4 linked regions of the Canis lupus familiaris genome follow. The protein of the gene in region 4 interacts with the protein of the main gene of each other region in a pairwise test. Links are inferred from orthologs where the notes say so. Each region holds a gene or a part of one and is shown on either strand. Other genes may lie near its edges.

The links.
Region 1: the proteins of DMRTB1 (region 4) and EXOSC1 interact in a two-hybrid assay, tested with the Homo sapiens proteins (2 studies listed by BioGRID). The link is inferred for Canis lupus familiaris from reciprocal best matches to the Homo sapiens genes DMRTB1 and EXOSC1.
Region 2: the proteins of DMRTB1 (region 4) and QKI interact in a two-hybrid assay, tested with the Homo sapiens proteins (2 studies listed by BioGRID). The link is inferred for Canis lupus familiaris from reciprocal best matches to the Homo sapiens genes DMRTB1 and QKI.
Region 3: the proteins of DMRTB1 (region 4) and IL16 interact in a two-hybrid assay, tested with the Homo sapiens proteins (2 studies listed by BioGRID). The two-hybrid records come from large-scale screens. The link is inferred for Canis lupus familiaris from reciprocal best matches to the Homo sapiens genes DMRTB1 and IL16.

What each region holds. Positions count from the first base shown.
Region 1 is NC_049249.1:10,915,826-10,921,177, forward strand, and holds part of EXOSC1 (exosome complex component CSL4), read right to left. Parts: intron 4,791-5,352; coding exon 4,716-4,790; intron 3,084-4,715; coding exon 2,995-3,083; intron 1,052-2,994; coding exon 1,018-1,051; coding exon of another isoform or gene 1,011-1,017; intron 478-1,010; coding exon 427-477; intron 298-426; coding exon 213-297; intron 1-212. UniProt on the Homo sapiens protein: Non-catalytic component of the RNA exosome complex which has 3'->5' exoribonuclease activity and participates in a multitude of cellular RNA processing and degradation events.
Region 2 is NC_049222.1:52,501,720-52,507,071, reverse strand, and holds part of QKI (protein quaking), read right to left. Parts: intron 4,478-5,352; coding exon 4,390-4,477; intron 2,850-4,389; coding exon 2,550-2,849; intron 1-2,549. UniProt on the Homo sapiens protein: RNA reader protein, which recognizes and binds specific RNAs, thereby regulating RNA metabolic processes, such as pre-mRNA splicing, circular RNA (circRNA) formation, mRNA export, mRNA stability and/or translation.
Region 3 is NC_049224.1:56,952,280-56,957,631, forward strand, and holds part of IL16 (pro-interleukin-16), read right to left. Parts: intron 2,449-5,352; coding exon 2,190-2,448; intron 1,952-2,189; coding exon 1,829-1,951; intron 290-1,828; coding exon 198-289; intron 1-197. UniProt on the Homo sapiens protein: Interleukin-16 stimulates a migratory response in CD4+ lymphocytes, monocytes, and eosinophils. Primes CD4+ T-cells for IL-2 and IL-15 responsiveness. Also induces T-lymphocyte expression of interleukin 2 receptor. Ligand for CD4.
Region 4 is NC_049226.1:55,948,293-55,952,998, reverse strand, and holds the end of DMRTB1 (doublesex- and mab-3-related transcription factor B1), read left to right. Parts: intron 1-899; coding exon 900-1,137; intron 1,138-2,444; coding exon 2,445-2,629; 3' UTR 2,630-3,452; downstream 3,453-4,706.

The DNA.
Region 1 (5,352 bases), on a different chromosome or scaffold from region 4:
CTAGTGAACCTCACCTCATACAGAAAAAGCCTTATGCAGTGAATTCCCCCCTTACAGTTATATAAGGAGAATCATTCTAATCTCAGTAGTAAGTGATTGACACTCATATTGCGCTCTAGATTTAAAACCAGGGTAACAAGAGAAAACAGTGAATTAATCCCAACTGTAGCTCCCAGGGAAAGAGAAGCATGTGGATGTATGGACCTACTCACCCGATTCACTGTGGGCCACCACCACCCCAAGTTCATTCTCAGCAGTGGTCAGGAGGTAGTTCGATTGTGCATCACCCAGAGAGATCTAGTCACACAATACTGGTGAAGGAAAACAATGGGTGATAAGTCTTCCCTCCCATAGCCACTTGAGTTATTTTCTACTTCTATTTCTTGTTTTGACAAAGGACCACAAGACTGCTGGAATAAAGGATACCACTTTGGCCAAGACAATGTCACCAGGGCGGAAACTCTTATAAATCTCAACCTGTAAAGAAAGAACAGGAATGTTAAGTGAAAGCTCTAAATCAAATCTACATGAAACTATTTGCCCCTCTGGTAGAACCAGTGTACTTTTTAACTCCACAGGGTGGAAGTCATCGTTAGTGAAGCCAATCAACAACTTTTATTGCTTTTACATCATATAAATGAAAGATTTTTATTTTTTATTTTTTTAAATGAAAAATTTTTAATTCAATAACCTGGTAACGGATCTTAGATAAAAGTTACTACAGTTGGCTCTGAAAGAATACAAAGTAAATCTGAGGGAATAGCAAAGAATAGACACCTGGCTTCAAAGGCAAGGAATAAAGTAGTCCCCTTCTGCTCAATAGAGCAAACAAAAAATCCTAAGGAAAGGAAAAGGACAGTGAGGTGAATTCCACACTTTCCAGTAGGAAACACCTTAAAATTCCTTGGACCTTTGGATCCACATTCCCACAGATGTTTGAAATTCCCTGGAGTAATTTAAAAGGATCGAGATTCCTAAAGTCATAAGGGGAAAAAAAAAAAAGAACCAACCAACAACCTTGTCTTTTTCAGTAGCTCGGACATCTTCCTTGCTATAAAAAAGAATTAACAAAAGATTAATTATCTGTGAGAATTATCCTGCAGAATCATAGCAGACAGAGAGCTACAAGAATAGAGAGAACAAATCATAATTGGGACCCAAAGGCCACCCAGAAGTGGGGTGGAGAAGCATTCCAAGTCCTCCCCTGGAGGAGAAAACCACATTCCCATTCTTGGGTCACACAGAGCAGCAGTATCAATACCTTTGACTAGAGAAAAGCAGATCAGATTTGGCAGGAAAGAATAAGGAACTTTGCTGCCTTAGGAAAGCTTGTACAGAAGCACTACAGAACCAACATGGAATCCTAAGGGTGGAAAGAGCCTTAGAAGCTATATCTAGCTCACAAGAATTGTTGGTCTCTACTTTAAAAACCTACAGGAAAAAACAAACAAAACCCTACCATTCCACTCACCTTTTTAAAAATATATTTTATTTTTTTAAGATTTATTTATTTTACAGAGAGAGAGAAAGAGTGCATATGCCATGAGTGGGGGGGGGGAGCGTGCACCCTATTTTACAGAGGGAGAGAATCTCAAGCAGACCCCTCACTGACTGCAGAGCCAGACACGAGGCTTGATCTGACGACAGCTTATGAGATCACGATCTGAGTTGAGATCACAAGTCGGTCGCTCAACCAACTGAGCCACTCAGGCACCTCTAAGATTCTATTTTTAAGTAATCTCTATGCCCAACATGGGGCCTGAACTCAAAACACCGAGATCAAGACTTACATGCTTTACTGACTGAGCCAGACAGGTGCCCCTCACCCACTAACCTTTTTTTTTTTTTTTTTTTAAGATTTTATTTATTTATTCATTCATAGAGACAGAGAGAGAGAGAGGCAGAGACTCAGTCAGAGGGAGAAGCAGGCTCCATGCAGAGAGCCTGACGTGGGACTTGATCCAGGGTCTCCAGGATCACGCCCTGGGCTGCAGGCGGCGCTAAACCGCTGCGCCACCGGGGCTGCCCACCCACTAACCTTTTTACCTTTTTAAAGTCTTTCGGGGGATCCCTGGGTGGCGCAGCGGTTTGGTGCCTGCCTTTGGCCCAGGGCGCGATCCTGGAGACCCGGGATCGAATCCCACGTCAGGCTCCCGGTGCATGGAGCCTGCTTCTCCCTCTGCCTATGTCTCTGCCTCTCTCTCTCTCTGTGTGACTATCATAAATAAATAAAAATTAAAAAAATAAAAAAAAATAAAAATAAAGTCTTTCGGGATCCCTGGGTGGCGCAGCGGTTTGGCGCCTGCCTTTGGCCCAGGGCGCGATCCTGGAGACCCGGGATCGAGTCCCACGTCGGGCTCCCGGTGCATGGAGCCTGCTTCTCTCTCTGCCTATGTCTCTGCCTCTCTCTCTCTCTCTCTCTCCGCCCCCCATCATAAATAAATAAAATTAAAAAAAAAAAATAAAGTCTTTCAATCCTTAGATTTAAACTATATTAAATACAAAAAAGGAAGATATTTCTTAAGATGCCTTTAACTTTTTTTTTTTTTAAAGATTTTATTTATTCATGAGAGATACAGAAAGAGGCAGAGACATTGGCAGAGGGAGCAGCAGACTCCCTGCAGGGAGCCCGGTGCAGGACTCAATCCCAGGACCCCGGGATCACGACCCGAGCCAAAGGCAGACACTCAACCACTGAGCTACCCAGGTGCCCCTAATTTGTTCCATATGAACTTCCTGCAACACTAGTTTCCAGCTTAGCTCAATTCTTTTCATTTTATTTTAAAGCCCAATCTTGTCAATATTTTCCTTTTGTCCTAGCTCATACATTATAACATTTCCTTTGGACACTACCTGGACAGAATCAAAGAACAAAGAGGAGAGAGAGGCAGGTAGATATAGGAACTGTAATTGTTCCTAAAAATTTCAATCCCTGTTCTATTCTAATCTCATTCCAGGTGCTGATGCAAATGCAAAAACATGAATACTTCTTACCGGATAGTTCCTCGAAAAGAGTTCTTAAGTGGTGTGGACCCCACATATAGGATGTGCACTTTGGCAAAGCGTGAATTGATGCTAGAGACCTGTGGAACAGAAAAAAGATCAGCATTAGAGTAGTAGCAGTTGTCAGTTCAAGGAGGCAGCAAGAAAGGAATTACCAGTGTTTTAGTCCAAGCAATCCTACTAATTATAGAATTTAAGACAAGTTAACTCCTACTTAATTCTGCATAAATGATATATGTCAAATGGAATGAGAGTCTCTCCAGCCACCTAATAAAGTTACTGTGGGCATCCAATGAAATAATATGGAATATATCTTGAAAAATACAGAAGCCTAACAAATAAAAACAGGGCATTACCGTAAATCTAGACCTTTAACTGATCTTACCAAGAGCCCGGTACAGTGCACAGAAAAATTTTTTTAAATGTTTATATTTCTTTTTTTTTTAATTTTTTATTTATTTATGACAGTCACACACAGAGAGAGAGAGAGAGAGAGAGGCAGAGACACAGGCAGAGGGAGAAGCAGGCTCCATGCACCGGGAGCCCGACGTGGGATTTGATCCTGGGGTCTCCAGGATCGCGCCCTGGGCCAAAGGCAGGCACCAAACCGCTGCACCACCCAGGGATCCCCAGTGGACAGAATTTAAGTGTACATTTCAGTTACTGTGTAATATTTGGATCACTGCCTCTTCAGTTATTTTAAGAATAACACATTGATTTTCTGCTGGAACAATTTATAAACAGCAACTAAGAACTCAAGTTGATTTAACTTAACATGGGGGTGGGCAGAGAGTAAGGATGTCTTGTAGTTACTGATCAGTATAGCATTAATTTGTATTTCCCCTGAAACACCCCAAATGATGAAATTTATTTTTAAAAAAGATTTTATTGGGATCCCTGGGTGGTGCAGCGGTTAAGCGCCTGCCTTTGGCCCAGGGCGCAATCCTGGAGACCCGGGATCGAATCCCACGTCGGGCTCCCGGTGCATGGAGCCTGCTTCTCTCTCTGCCTCTCTCTCTCTCTGTGACTATCATAAATAAATAAAAATTTAAAAAAAATAAAAATAAAAATAAATAAAAAAGATTTTATTTATTTATTTGAGAGAAAGAAAGAGACACAGCATGAGTGGAGAGAAGGGGCAGAGGGAGACAGAAAAGCAGACTCCCTGCTGAGCAGGGAGCCTGATGCAGGGCTGGATCCTAGGATCACCACCTGAGCCGAAGGCAGACATTTAACTGACTGGACCACCCAGGTGCCCTAAAAGATGAAATTTAATAGGTCTTTATAAGGTCTTTTGCTTCTCTCCAGACTAAAATAGCTTCTAAATGTTAAAAATAGGCTTCCTTATTATTATTACCCTTTGGCACCTGTTTCCCAAACTGCATACTCAGGGAATCAGCTCAGTGAAAGAGCTACGCATGCTTGAACTTGGCTGCCTTGATCACTATCCCAGAACTTTCTAGGCCGGCACAGTCCAGTAACACTGTGATGATTAAAATGTTCTGTGCTGGCCAACAAGGCAGCTGTCAACTATACGTGAGCACTTGGAATGTAGCTAGTGAGATGGAGGAAATGAACTTTCAATTTTAATTCATTTCAATTAAATGGCCACATATGGCTAGTGACTGCCACATAAGACAGAGCACTTCCACAATGATCATGATTTCACCATTGAACAGGTGTCCTAAGAAGGGAGGTTAAGACCTACTTACCTTACAGGTTACAATAGTCCCCACATCTGGTAGCAATTGAGATTCTGTTTCTCTCATCACAGAAATCACAGGAAGCTATAGACAGAACAATAAAATGTGAGATCCTGACTAAGCCTTCCATAAAGGTATCTGGCTTAAGAATAATGTAGGAATGCTTTGGTCCACAGCTGAGATCACAAGCACAGATGGACTACAGACTCATATGTGCCCAGGGCAGACAGTCTTAGAAATTTAAGGCAAATAGGAAGGTCAAGGGGCCATTTTTCAAAAGAAAGATGCTACCAGAAGACATAATCTAATCATTTCAGAACAGTTCTAACAAGTTTTCTTTTTGTGGTTTTCTTGGAATTTCTTGGTATATAATCAATTGTGGATAACTTGACTCTTCTCTTCAAAGTTCTACTACTTCCTTCTGATTTTCACTCTATTGTACTGGCTAGAATTTCCAAATAAATGTTATATAATAATGGCCATACTTTATTTTTTTCTATTTTAAGGGAATACTTGTAGCTTTCCCTTTGAGCATGGTATTGGCTATTGGTATAAAATATGTATTTTTTAAAGATTTATTTCAGAGAGAGAGAGAAAGCATGCGCAAGTGGGGAGAGGGAGGGAGAGAATCTCAAGCAGATTCCCC
Region 2 (5,352 bases), on a different chromosome or scaffold from region 4:
CAAACATCTTGGCCTTAACCTATTTTATCCATTCATTCACAATCCCAAGTTACAGTATTTCATGAATTCTATTAGATCCAAACATATTTAAGCTTTACTAGTCACATATTCACTGAAGTGCCTTTCTTGCAGCAGGACCACTTAAATAATGCCATGTTTAATACTGACAATTATTTGCTAACCTTAAGACCACTTCCAGAGTTTATCACTTAAAAAGGTTTAAAAGCAATTCTTAAAGCCTACAGATTGTGGTTTTAAACTTTGAGTCAATAAGTATGAACTGCAATGAATTAGGTGATTAGTAAAGCAAACAGTATAGTACACTTAGCAGTCAGTATACTACTATACACTCCTTTATAAATTACCGTTACTTTGTAAGATTACAGACTAAACCAAATTAATAACATACTTTTACTTTCTATCAGTGTGCAAAAAGTGCAAGTAAGTCACTGACTGCTAGGCTAAGCTTTCCCCCCCACCCCACCCCCGGAGGCTGCTGAGACTAAGCATTTGTTAAATTCAGATCTGATGAGGGTTCAGTTAAGACCGTTCTTGAATTCTTAGCCTTTCGTTGGGAAAGCCATACCTAAAGATAAAAGGAAGGGAATTAAAAATTAGTCATCAATGAAGATTTGATGCTAATACCAATCTCCTCACTACCACCAACACACATGTCTGCATCTGTTTTGAAGGGCACTGCTTATTTTAAAATAATATGATGTGAGACTTGATATATATCATGCATGTTATCTGTGTGCAAATTTATTATAACTTAGGAATTTGAAATAATTTTTTCAGTTCTCTAAGTGCTCAATGTCACGTTTTACTGCTTAGGTGGCAAAGCGAGAAACAGGATTGATAATGGATTTTGATCATTTAGTACTATTATTCATTTTATGAATGCCAATTAGGTATCTGTATATATTTTGCTTTTAATTTGTCAGTCTAATAATTATTACAAATAAAAATTTCCCAACACAACAAAAAACACATTGCTTAAAATGAGAAACTGCAGTGCCTCTTGCTGTTTCTAAGCAGTAAACTGGTCCATCACCCCTTTTTTCATTTTAGATAAACTAATCTTATACAAGTAGAATTCCACGAGGCAAAATCAGCGAGATCTTGCATTGAGAGTGCTGGAACAGCAGCTGGTGGCTAAGAGTGCCAGCCCTGCAGGAAGCAACCAACTCCTCGAACAGACGCTGTGCGTGCAGCAGAGAGGAGCTCTGGGGAAAGGAGCAGGCATGGGGCCACAAGACAGAGCGTTAACAGAAAGGAAGACGTAAACAGGTTACAGGTTACAGGTTATTTTAAAAATGCTTCAAGAAATGTGCAACAGAAACAAGCTTCTCATAAACAATTCTATAAATTCTGACTTATGATACTTTATACAATGATTTAGAGATAAAACGGAAAACATGTACAATAAAATGTATTTGCTCATGAAACAAAAGGCACCTGAGTGCATGCACACACACAGATAACATACAGAGCATTGTGGCTTTCTTTAATTGAACAATGAATTTTCAAGTTTAAATCTTAGTGTCCGGGTTCATTAAAGACTTTCAAATTTTTATAGATCAGTATTAATGCTGGAAAAAAAAAACCTTAAAAGATCAAAGTCCTAAGAGTCAACAGCATGCATGCAGCACCAAGGTCATATACAATTCAAGGAAAAAAAGTATTCATATTCTGTCTGGTAAAACAAAGGGGCAGCACGGAAACAGTTTGTCCCACATTGACTGGTCGTGTTATAACAGCTGCTGTATTCTAGTCCTTCATCCAGCAAGTCAATGGGCTGAAATATCAGGCATGACTGGCATTTCAATCCACTCTATAAAAAAAAGGCATCAGTAATGTCTTTTTCAAGCACACCACTTTTTGTTCATGTAAAACCAAGCGTTCATACTATGATCTTAATTTTTGCCTCAAAGGTGATTCTAAAACAGTGACTTGGTATTTACTTATCAATTCCATACTGTACTACTGAAATTAGGAATTTCTTTTATGTTTGACATTAACTAATAACTTCAAGAGAGAAAAACTGAGAAGCTGAAGAATCCAACTAATTTACCTGGTCTCTTTCATATTTACGTGATCACAAATATTAGAAAACACACAGACAATAACAGCAGTTATAAAAAAGATCTCAAAATATTTCCACACAGAAATTTAAAATTTAGATGACAACCAACTAATTCCCTGAGACGAAAGGAATCTAACTGTGGGCAGTGGAGCAAATGGAGGGGATAGGCCAAACTCAGAACGACCTCAGTGATGTCAAAAGTGAAAAGTACTTTCCGTTTAAGTGTTCATAGCTGATTTACTCAAAGTGAATCTGAGTTACCAAAGAGAATCTGAGCACACCTAAGGTGCAATTCTTTAAAAAGGGAGCCATTAAGAGAGGCTGAAATAAAACAAACTTTAGGCTTCTGTCTTCCTAATGGAAACTTGTCTTGCCTCTCCAAAACGGATATAATCATTTCAAAGTCTGAAGCACAGAAGTCATGAAGAAATAAACTGCCAGCCACACAGGGAGAACAACTTACCTAATACACCACTAGGTTCAATAGGATACTCAAGGATGGATGTCGCTGGTGCCAACGTGTAGGGGTACTCATAGGGTGTGTAGATCAAACCAGCTTCGGGCCCCGGAGGAACTATTGCAGCAGTCGGGTGAGGAGTTCCGTTTGGCATGACAGCGGTCTGTATTTGTCTGATCAAAGGCATTATGGTAGGGCCAGCTGGCGTAGGAGTACGCAGGGCAGCTGGTGGGAGAACAGGCGCAGGCCCAGTGATAATCCTTGGAGCAGCCTGGGCTGTTGCTGCAAGAGAAAAGGCAAGGGCTGCTACAGTAAGCAAAGAAATGTAGGAGAAGTGTAGAGACAGCAGTATAAAATATGGAAAATGAGAGGGAAGTAGGAAAAAGAAAGGAGAAGCAGGAAAGAAGAAAAATAAAAGGAAATCATTAGTACATGCGCTGATCACACAAAATGCCAAAGCACACTGATCAAATGCAAACAGCTTCCCCTTTCCCAGTGTGATTAAGAATAAATGTGCAAAAATTAACAAGCCACTGTAAAAAAAAAAAAAAAAAAGAATGAGACCATTAAAATAGGTTATATTTAGTTCATGTATTTGATATATCTGTGTTTTTAAGATCTCCTGAGACTAAAGGTACATGCAAAAGCACATGGAAATACTCGCATTAAAAGAAGTTAAAAAATTTTGGAATTGGGAGTCCATAGAAATACAGCTTTGGTATATTTCTAAAGAAAAACTTAAGTTTCAAATGAAAAAAAAGAATAATTTTTACTGTATTAAGTTAGCCAACGACTAGTTTTATTTATATAAACTTCTTGCATCTGTATGAACTTCATACAAAAAACAATATAAAAAATGTCCCATTCCTAAGCATAAGACTATTAATGATATACTCATTCTCATGAATAAATTAAAGCCAAATATTTGTAAAGTAACCACTTCTGAATCTAGTAAATTGCCTCTATTTTGGACACCTATTCTATTTCTTGGGACGCCTGGGTGGCTTAGCGGTTAAGCGTCTGCCTTCGGCTCAGGGCATGATCCTGGAGGCCCGGGATGGAGTCCCACATTGCGCTCCCTGCATGGAGCCTGCTTCTCCCTCTGCCTATGTCTCTGCCTCTCTCTCTCTCTGTGTCTCTCATGAATAAATAAATAAAATCTTAAAAAAAAAATTCTAGTTCTTAAAAAAACAAAACAAAACAAAAAACTAGTAATTTAAATAATTACGTTCATTAAAAGAACTGTAAACCTTCAACTGCCTCAAAAAATAAAAAAAGCAATCCTCTTCAAGTTTAGGAAGCGTCCACAGATATATCTAAAGGAAAAATGGGATTAAAACAGTATCATCTACTGCTCTCTGTGAATTCAGCTCATATACAAAATCAACAGAGAAAAATACCGGAGGGGAACATTAGCAAGCATGGTGAGAGGACAGAATTCGACAAAAGGGTCACTGCTTTCATATACATTCCAAATCAGCTTTTAAAAAAAAAAGTCTAAAAATTATTTTCTCTTTTGCATAAATATAACAATAAGCTCGAAGCCTTAAATCTGTAGTTAAAAGAATAGGAAATTTCCCGAAACTTTTAAATTTAGAAGTTGAAATATCATTGAAATAATAAAAGTTTATAAACTCCAAACTTAGACATGCTGGCATCAAATAAAGGAGACTGTCCCCAATTCATGAAAGCAGTAAAAATGGGACTGTGAGTCCCTTATTAAGTGATAATTATTTCGACTCTTCACATAGTGTGAAGCTCGTGTGCTGCACTGCCAACAGGAGAAAAGGTTTGTGGACAAAATAATTGATTCAGCTGTAACCATGGACCTCAGTCTCATTCTTACGTGATTTAATGTTGGCATCTCTGTAGGTGCCATTCAGAATTGCAAGCTCCATCAGCTGCATCTTCTTCAGGCTGTCTTCTCCCTCTGCCTATACATGGAAAACACAAGAGTAGTAGTAAGCACTTAAGATGGTCTGTACACATCACAGCCATATGTACTCACCAGCCTTAAAATAGGGATTATGGGACTATAGCCACCTGCTTCAATTGTGGGGGGAGGAGGAAGGAAAGATTAGGGAACCAAAAGGTGCTGACGTACTGATACAAAGGATACTCTCTCAACATGTAGCCACTAGCTACATTTCTGTTTGGAAATTTTTTATGTAAACTACACTGATTTATTAAAGTTCCCCCAAAAGCTGTGCTAAATGGAATAAATATTAGTTAAGATTAAATATAGTACATTTATTCTCTTTAGGATCTATCATTTTGTAGAAGATTCAAAAACTCAATGTGATCATTAAAGGGGGGGGGGGGGAACAACCCACAAAAAACCAAGCAACCTCCCTCACTCTGCCACCAAACTGGTATTTTAAACATATAACATGATGGTGGTATTCATATGTGAGAATTCTGTTTAATTTTCCAAAATGGAAAATTTAATAAAATTATAATCATAAGAATTTCTAAAATTTGAATATTTATTCTGCTCTTTTATGCCAACATTCCTCCCTTCCTCAGTTAGTAAATACTACCATTCTAAAGCAAATCTACCTTTAGGGCCAAGTTAGAATGGTAGAATGGTAGTATTACCACTGTCCAAGCCACAAGGCATTCAAAAGTGAAAGCTCTTAATAACTATGCAACGGTGACAGGCTTAAAAAACCTGGATTGTCTCTGACCATTCCATTTACCTTGGATTTGCTCTACCCTTTCCATTTACTGTTGTCACATCACTCTTCTTCTAGTCATTATTGGTGTATTACCAAAACTACTACAATATTATGTTAATAGTATCTGTTCT
Region 3 (5,352 bases), on a different chromosome or scaffold from region 4:
ACCTCGAGGTTGGCACACCAGGCTCTAGCTCCATGGCCCTTGGGAAAGGTATAGCCTCTGTGTCCCCAGAGAAGGGAGGTTCTGGGCAGCCCCAAGCTCAGTTGAGGAGACTTCTGTGGGTCATAGAGGCCTTTGGGGAACTGACCCCCCTCCTCGGACACCAGCCCAACCCCTTCTGTTCACATGCAGTCTCTTGCCTTCTGATGAGCTCGCCAGGCATTGGGCAGTGTGGGAAGGGGGCTGGTGAACCTTCGCAGTGCGCTGTCTCTGAACGGCCTGGAGAAGACCCCTGGGTCCATGTGAAGAGGACATAATCATATATGGCCCCCACTCATTCAAAGATGCTTGTGGAAAGAGTGTTATTTTATTGTTTCTATCGAAGGATTTTCTATCCATTTGATACAATGATATTCAGGAGTATGAATAGAAGCTAATAGTAATGAGAATGCAGAAGTGCTGGAGAATATCGGGCCCTTGTGTGTCTCAGGTGATCTGCTAACACTGTTTGGGTGGTAGTAGTCCCCTTTCACCTGTGAGGACCCCGAGGATGCAGGTAACCAGCTGAGCTTCAGAGCTGCTAGGTATTGTGGCCCAGGTTTGAACCCAGACTCTCCGCCCCAGAGTCCCCATCTCCTTGCAGCTGGTAGGCCCAGCCCAGTGTCCGCAGATGGGCCTGGGCTGCTAAGTAGAGGCCTGTCCAGGATCATGCTGCTGTTAGGAGCACAGCTCCTAACACCAGAAACCTGGCCTCTGGACTTTGAGCCACATGCTGAGCCCAAGTCCACCTTCAAAAGTTAAACTGTCTTTCCCAGAGTTGGAATAAACACGGATTCCTGGAGACTCCCCTCCCCACAGTGAGCCTCCGTGCACCCGGGGCACAGACACACCCCACACCTCTGTGTGGATGAGGAGCCTCTGGCCCCAGAGACAGCAGTCACTCAGTAAGTGAGAGGCTGAGCTGGAACCCAGGGCCTAGGCTCCTGCTCTGTGCTCTCTCTGTGCACATGTCCCTGTTTTGTGTTTTGCTCCAGCCTGAGAAGCTGGGAAGAGCCTGGGTGGTTCTCTGTGGGAGCTGCAGGCCGTTCACAATGTTCGAGGGAAAACCCGAGTGACCCCCACTTTAGGCCAGCTTGCACCTCAGCCCACAATGAACAAAATGTCAGAGTTTTGAATAAAGGGAGCTGACCGGTCCAGGATCAGGGGGAAAGGAGTAAGGCCGAGTGTGTACAAGTGGAAAGTCAGACTCCATCCTTATTTTAAACTTTGATATTTTGTTCCTTATGGATTTTTTCATTAATTTTAATTTTTAGAAATATCGCACTGAGGCCACCTGGGTGGCTCAGGGGTTGAACATCTGCCTTTGGCTCAGGTCGCAATCCCAGGGTCCTGGGATCGAGTCCCAGATCGGGCTCCCACAGGGAGCCTGCTTCTCCCTCTGCCTGTGTCTCTGCTTCTTCTGTCTCATGAATCAGCAACTAAAATCTTTAAAAAATAATTAAGAAATTAAAAATAAAAATAACACACTGAAATAAGCTATCACGGGTGTGGGGGTCCCTGCAGGGCTGTGCCCTGGGCTGTGCCTCTCGGATCTCGGCCTAGTCCCTGCTGGGCGGGCCTGCCAGGCTGAATCAAGCCCAGGGCTCTGTCATGAGGACCCAGAGAAATAGAAGGGGTAAGGGGCTGTCCCGAGCCGAGGAGAACCGGTAAAAAGAGCTGAATCCAGTCCCCAAGTGGCCCCCTGCCTGGCCAGCAGGCGCCTAGCAGCCTTGCAGGGGCCCGGCCCAACACTCGCAGCAGGAGAGAACGCAAGGAGCCGACACACACCCACCTTTGAAAATCCTGTTAATGGTGAGAGGCTTGTCCCCGAGCAAGGAGCCCTTCCCACCTTCCAGGCTGAAGCCCAGGCCCGCAGAGGTCTTCTCCAGTGTCACCGTGTGTACCGTGGCCTCTGCTGCAGGGGAAGCACAGGGCCAGGTGAGGGGTGCCCTCCGCGCCAGCCCACAGACGCCTGGGCCTCGTGCCCGCTGGATCTGCAGCCCCGCCCGGGCCCGCACGCCTGTGAGCACAGACACACCCCCCAGCAGTGTCCCGGGCCGGCCGCGCATCATGGAGCAGCCCCAGCAGTACTGGCCCCACGTGGCCAAGGGCAACGTGACCCACGGGGCTCCCACCGAGCTCGGGGCACTTACTGGGATCTACAGAAACATCGCTGGCCACCGAGGCTGAGGCCGTAGAGTCCGTGGAGGAGTTCAGGTCGGGCGCAGCCTCCAGAGCCGGCTTCCGCGTGACGATCACGGCTTGCCTGGGGTCCCGAGCTTGGCGGAGGATGGCCAGGGCATCGTTGTGTGTGGCCCCTTTGAGGGACTTGCCGTTGATGGACAGAACCTCATTGCCCTTCTGAATAGTCCCCTCCTGGGAGGCCAGCCCGTTGGGAAACACTCTATGAACCTGAACAAACCAAAGGAAGTCAAGAGCCAGGAATCACCCAGCATCAGGTCCAGGTTCTTGCTGGAGGAGGATCCAAACCAGTTAGTCAAACCTGAAGGATTCTTAGCGAGAAGAAAATACAAGTTATGTCTCAGATCAGGGCTGCTGGCACAGGGCCTCCCTCATCCACCACCCAGACCAGGGATCGCTAGCCTAATGGCCAGACTGGTCCTCAGAACCCTTCCTAACATGATGCCCTAGCCGATTGCCACAATCTTAGTTCACCACAATCTTGGTTCACAATCCCAGTTCAAATCTTCCCCCTTACCTGCTCTGCAGCAGCATTTCCTAGGGTGGTTTTTCGGAAGCACTGATTCTGTGTCACATTAATAGGTGTATAAGAAAAGGTTTCTAAGGTCTAAGTAAGTTAAGAATGCTGGATGAAACAAAAGTTCTGAAAACATCTACAGCTTGTTTAAAAAGGTATTAGAGACTCTACGAAGCAAATTTGCATGATGCTTCTGTAAGAACAGGCCATGGGATCCCCAAAAGTGTTTCAGCCAAGAATCCTTTTTTCCAGGCAGAATTTTCAAGCCCCCATCTTCCACAGGATGCTTCTTTTTTTTTTTTTTTTTTTTTTTGAGAAACGCTATCCTAGTAAGTCTGGGCATTTTAAAATTTCCCTAGAAATTCTGATCCAGGGATCCCTGGGTGGCGCAGCGGTTTAGCGCCTGCCTTTGGCCCAGGGCGCGACCTGGAGACCCGGGATCGAATCCCACATCGGGCTCCCGGTGCATGGAGCCTGCTTCTCCCTCTGCCTGTGTCTCTGCCTCTCTCTCTCTCTCTCTGTATGATTATCATAAATAAATAAAAATTTAAAAAAAAAAAAAAGAGAAATTCTGATCCAGTTAAAAGAGGCCACACCTTCTGGTCCTCTTTTTGCAAAATAGACGGTTTTTTAAAAAAAAAGAAAACCTCATGTCTTTCCATCTGCGTCTTTAATGAGGTAAATTCTAATGTGCATAATTAAGAGGATTGCATGAGAGCATGCACAGGCTATTACTGAAATGTGGTACATCATCATGGAAACCAGGCTGTCTGTTTCTCTAAGTTGTTTTGATGTCCAAAAAAATTCTGTGATATGGTCAGAGATGAGGATCCCCAGGCTCTGTACAAGACCCAAGTATGAAGCAGAAGCTCTGCTGGCCATCTCAGATCCCACCTCTATAGATAAAGCATAAATAGCACTAAGTACCCTGCCCACCCCCCACTGTCAGTCATGGGAAGATGGGTTTAGACAAACCAGTGAGGGCCCAGCGTGGGCCTCGGTCTTGGACAGTGCTCAACATTAGTTTTCTTTTAATGACTTGGGAGTGTTCATATGCAGAAGGAGAAAGAGGAAGTTTGGTGCATATGCCTGGCTGATGTGCACTGCTTCCTCCTGGGGTTTGAGTGGCTGCAGTGTCTCAGGGGAGCTGTCAAATAGGGTGGAGAGAAGTCACCACTCAGGGCAAACCCAAAGATCCCTCGTACTATTCTCACAGGCCAGCTCTCTTCAAACAGAAAGTCAATGATCAGGAGCCTCTTTATAATCATACCCTGCTGTGTGCTTAGTGACAGAAATAGATCCTGAGTGGTTTTGTGTATCTGTGTGTAGGGGAGGTTTTTTTTGTTTTTTGGGTGTGTGTGTGTGTGTGTGTGTGTGTGTGTGGAGAGAGAGAGAGAGAGAGAGAGAGAGAGAGAGAGAGAGAGAGAGAGCCTGCTTGCAGAGAAGGAAGTCACTGCTCTGAATTGACCAATAGGAATGGGCCAAGTCACCTGCCTGGCGGTGTGGTGTATTTAATCCTGGCTGATGATGAACTGCAGGGTTTATTTTTAGCTGGGCAAGGAAATTCATGTGAGTCCACATAAAGAGTGCACTGAGACAACACAGCCATTGATGAGGATGGTGCACCCAGCTTTGGAGAGACGGAGCGGCCATGTCTCAGCTCCATCCATGAGGATGGGACCACCAGAAAGCATCCAGGTCAGATAGGGTGAGCAGACAGGTGGGCTGCTGCCACTGCAGACCGTGTGGACCAAAAGAGGAAGAGGAGGAGGTGATGGGGAGCTGCCGCTTCCCCTCTCTGCCCCCAGGCTCCAGTTGATCCCCAAAGAACAGGGGCTGGACCACAAGATCTGAAGCCTCAGAGGGCAGTCTGTTCTGTGCTCTGTGAACTCATACAGGAACTGCTTCTTTCTGGCATGGCCCTAATGTCCCAACCCTCTGTCTCAGCCTTCCAGTGTCCAAGCTAACATCTCCACTTTCCAAGTGGGCAAAACCAGGAAAGCAGTCTCCTTTATAGGATCCACCTTCCCCAGGCACCTTTCTGTTCAGGTGAGGCCCCTCTGCATCCAGCATGCTGTGCTATGCCATCACCGCCCAGTTTTCAACTCCAGCTGTCCAGCCTCCCCTCAAGGCACCTGTGGTCATAAACCATCCTTGTCTAAATGTTTAGTAGCTAACAGGTTACCGGTCTCTTTTGTCCAAAACAAGAGACATTAAATAGAGCTTGCTTCGAATTTTTGTTGACTTGAAATTCACATAACATATGATGGACCATTTTAAAGTGTACTACTCGGTGACATTTAAGGAGTTTGAGTTTTTTTTAAATGTCCCTTCAGGGGCAGCCCTGGTGGCCCAGCAGTTTAGCGCTGCCTTCAGCCCGGGGTGTGATCCTGGAGACCGGGAATTGAGTCCCCCGTCAGGCTCCCTGGATGAAGCATACTTCTCCCTCTCCCTGTGTCTCTGTCTCTGTCTCTGTCTCTCTCTCTCTCTCCTCTCCTCTCCTCCCTTCTTTCTTATGAATAAATAAATAAAATCTTTTGAAAAAATAAATAAATGTCCCTTCAGACAAAACCTGCAGCTGTATAGGCCTTAGAGCT
Region 4 (4,706 bases):
AAAGGTGGGCTTTCTCCCTTCCTTGTTAGAAAATGCAGACTGCCTCAAGGCTTCAGTGTGCTCATATATGATTCACCAGTGTGGGGTAGTGTGTGGGGTACTCCAATCCCTTGACAAAGAACGCTTAAGAGCACATAAAATACCTTATAGGACACTAGGGTTCTCCAAAACACAGCTTGTAAAATGCTGCTCTGAAGTATCTGATGCAGAAGGAAATACTAGGACCTACATCTGAAATGTATTACCACTTTTTATTACATTCATGTCTTTCTCTGTTAAGCTGTGAGTGGTGTGGCCATCACTGCAGATGCCCCATTCCAGCCGTAGGGTCCTGTAGCGTGAGCTTATCCTTTGGTTGCCGAGGAAGCAGCAGACACACAAGCTGCCCGCTGGAGCCGTGTTGCTGTGGTCTCCCAGCTCCCCTTGCCTAAGTCACAGCTATGGGAATAAGGCCCCCGACTCTGGTGTCTACATCCTTAGCTGTACCAGGAGAAGGAACCACAGGGGTTGGGATGTGTTGGCACCTTCCCCAGCACAGAGCAGCAGAGCAGCCACAGGACCCACTTTTGCCTCTCACTTCCCAGCTCTGTGGCCCTCGGCCTGAAGCTTCACCCCACTGACACTCATTGCAGTGAGGATGGTGCTAGAACCTCCCTCCTAGGGTCAGAAGGGCTCAGTGTGACTATGTGGCTGTTCCCCAGGCGTACCTGAGATGCCTGAATTTCTTCTTGCCTTCAATCACTGGATGGGTATTTGCTGAACACCCTGTTTCATGTGCCCTGTGCCTAGGTATTGGGTCACAGAGGTGAATCTGCCCCTTTGGGAGCCCCCTATTTAGCAGTCTGAGGCCTGTCTGACCAGCCTGTCTGGCTAACCCTCTCCCTCTGGGCGCCATGCAGGTCCCGGAGCCAGTGGGAGACTTCCAGCCAAGCTACTACCCGCTGCCGCCGCCGCCGCCACCTCCACCACCACCGCCGCCGCCTCCACCACCACCGCCGCCGCCACCACCGCCGCAGCCTCAATTTCTCCCACCAGGCTTCTTGTCTGCGCTCCACTTTCTGCCGCCTCTGCCACCGCCGCCACCACCGGCATCTTTCTCTCTCACCATTCTGTCTGATACAGACAAGGAAACCACTGGTAAGAGGGCCCCAGGCTTTCAGCTTCTGGGGAGCCAGGAGGACTTCCTGGAGGAAGGGGGCCTAATCACAAAGTAGAGGTGGAGAGCAGAATTTAAAATGCATTGGGTCTGGGGATGAGCTCTTCAGTTATATCCCTCTTTTTATTCCATATGCAAGCATCCAAGAGGGGCTCCCCAGTCTCAGGTGAGAAAACCAATGGAACCCTGAGAGGTTCTCACATATGTAAATGGAAGATGGCAGCGCTTGGATCTCCACAGAATTCTGTCTGGCTCCGGAGCTCATGCTAATTCCCAATCCCCCCCACCCCCACCCCTTATCAGGGCCTGTGGGCAGAGATGTGAAGGATGGCATTCCTGTGGTGTGTTCAGGAGACCAGCTGTGCCAGGCTGCTCTGGCTCAGCTGGGGCTATTCTAGAGAGGGAAGCAGCAGATGCTGAGGCTGGGGCAGCAGCTGGAACTGGGTGGGGGTTGCTAGGGATAAGTCCTCGTGGAGAGAAACCGGCCAGGAGCCAGGGACCCTGTCCTTCATTGCTCTGCCACTGGCGCACTGGGTGACCTCAGGCCCTCCCACTCACTCGAGGCCTGTCTCCTCATCTGTAAAATGGGTCCTGTTAACAGGGTTATTGTGGTAGTCAATATTAGAGGTAAAAGTGCTTTAGGTTTTCTTACGAGGGTTCTTGCAGCTTTAAAGGTTCTAGGATTTTTTTTTCCCCTTTCAGTCCTTCCCTGAGGCTCCCTAGGAAAAGGAAGTGAGGCCTTCTGTACACACGTGCTGTGTTTGAGATGCCTAGATAGGCAGAGATGGTGTGTGGCTTGAAGCATGCTGGCCCCAGAGCCAGACAGTAGCTTTGTGACCCGCGGCAAGGTCATTCAGTCCTTGGAGCCTCCCCCCTCCCTCACCTTCTGCAGAAGTGGGCTTAACGGCCCCACCTCAGGAGGTGATTCTGAGGACCCATCTGAACCTGCACCCCAGGACGGCATTTGTGTTCATTCTCCCTGTTTCCTGTCATCCCCTGCTGACCTGACGTTGGGAGGGCAGATCTCATTCCCCAGAAGCGTGCAGAAGTTCAGAGCCTCGGGGTAGCTTGCTCCTGGCCACCCAGCTGGCGACAGGCAGAGCCAGAGTGTGAGCTGGAGTCTGTGTTGGGCTGGGGCTAGGCTGCCAGGGTCCGGACACCTGGCCCATGGAGGGCAAAGGCATTCTCCGCAGAGGCTGGGAACCCTGAGAATGCCTGACCAAAAGTTTGCATCTGAAAGTAGGTAATTCCCCTGTTTGTAAATCCAGCCCCTCTTTGTCCTTCACAGATGGCCAGGATGCAGGGGTACCAGAGGAGCCCGGGGTGCCTGAGGCGGAGGCGGGGGCCCCTGAGGCGGAGGACCCTGAAGCGGAGGCGGGGGCCCCTGAGGTGGAGGCAGAGGCGCCTGAGGCAGAGGCGGAGGTGCTGCCGGGTGAGCCCAGCCAGCTGCCTTCCAAGGAGCAGTCCAACTAGGCCCTGGCATGCTTGGGCCAGCGGGGTGGGGGTTGCGGGTGTTGCAGCAATGATGTTCTTAACGGGTTTGGGGATGTGTAGGGAGGAAGGGTAGTAGTAGACATAAAATGGCAGTTTAATTTCCATTTCAAGACAGGAGGGAGGAAGGTGATTTCTAAGGTTCTCTCTATCCAGAGACGTGGGATTGACCAGGAACATGGAGGATGGTTAGCAGGGGAGGGCCAGGGCTTTGAGGATTGGGGGGCTGGTGGAAGCTCACATTTAGGAATGAATTTAACTGAGTCTGGGTTGTGCTGCTGTTAGACTCACTCCCAGAAGTGGTCTTTGATTTCCTCGGGCCCGCTCCAGGACAGGAGGCACCATCTATTTCAGCCTTCTGCTTCCGCCTCTGCTTGGTCCCAGCTGGGGGCAGCACAAACACTGAGCCCCAAGCACATCCAGGTGGTTTGTGTGGGCAGCTGGGACCAGGTGCTGACAGCAGGTTCTACAGCGTCCTTCCCTGCTGCTCTATCTCTTGTGAGGGCTGCCTGGCCACTGCCTCTCGCCCCTTCTCCAAGGGGCTGCACCAAGCATTCTGACTGCTGGGGCTGCCTCCTCTCCTCTCCATAAAGTTTAAGCCACTATAGGCATCTTTTCTGGTTAAAAAAAATCTATTAAAGTTTGACTATTTGATATTTTTATAGTGATTGCCAACTTTAAAAAGTAGGCTGTTTGTAAGCACTGATGCAGTTCTCAGAAGAGAATGGTGCTTCTAAATCATCTATGTATCCATTTCTTCTCTGGGGACAGTTGACTGTTGAAATAAAATAAGCAGTGGAAATCATCGTGCAAGTTTCATTTTCTTTAAGTCTTGTGGAAGGTGGTTTTGGGGAGAGCGTCTGGGCCTGGCAAGTCCCTTCCTGGCTTACCTCCCCTTTCCCTGTTGCCAAGGGAGAGGGTTGGGCCAGGCTACTAGATTTCTGTCTGTCGTTGATATTCCCACCATTTTTCTTAAGCAGTGGAGACCTTTTGAGGACATTGCAGACACACAAGATGTAAAGATTTCTTTTAGTTTCCCTCACTCAGCTGTGGGGGTGGTCAGAAGTTGGGATCTCAACTCTATCTTAAAGGTGAAAGTAGGCATTCCTGGGGGGTGGGTGCAGAAAGAGTAAGGGACCTGGAGTGAAGGATTCTGGGTGAGACACTGTGTCCTGTCCTCTGTCCAGGGGCAGACTGGCACTCAAACAGGCCAGTCTGCATGCCACCTGGCTTGTAGGCAGGGGTGTCCCAGAATCCCCAGGACAAGCGGCAAGATGATCGCTGAGAAATGCTCTCTGTTCTCCCAACATGAGTGTCCTGGCTGGGCCTCGGCCTGCTCTGTTGGCACTGGAGCAGGATCTAGTCCTAGAAGGTTTCTGTCCCTGCTTTTTGGGCAGTCCTAGCAGGGCCGACCCAGGCACTGAGGCCTGCAGGGCAGCATTGTCTTGTCTCTGCCTGATGCTGTGATGTTGGACTAGCCTGGCTTTGAGGCTGAAGCCCCCCAATGCTTCCTGCATAATAGCACTGGTCCTGTCTTGGGGTCCACAGCCCTGAGGAGCCCTGGGTTCCAGATGGCCTCACCCTGCCCCGTCAGTATGGCCAAGTAGGGCTGGATCAGTGCCCCTCCGTACTCCTTCATTACACTGCTTTATCTTAGACTCCCTGTTTTGAAGATTTTCACCCAAGCTGCATTAATCAAAGTATTTCTGATCTGCAATACACAGGTCTGAGAGTCTGGCCACATGGACTCCAAAGCATTCCAGACCGGGGCAAGGAAATAGGATGTTTATTCAGTCTGTGGGGTTGAGAAGGGGCGCTCTGGAGGCTGAGAAGGACAGTGTCCTGTTGCTGAAATCCGTGTCCACAGAACTCCAGGGAGGGGAGGAATGCTCGGTTCTCCTATAGACCTGTGATCTGACGAATCTCCGGAGCCTGGTTAGCTTCTTCCCTGGGACCTTGAGGGTGCCAGCTGCAGTGACAAGACAGCCACGGGCAGGGTTGGAGACCTGCTTCCTCTCTTCCCCCCTGGTGTGAACCCCAAGCTCCGACAGCCCGGGCT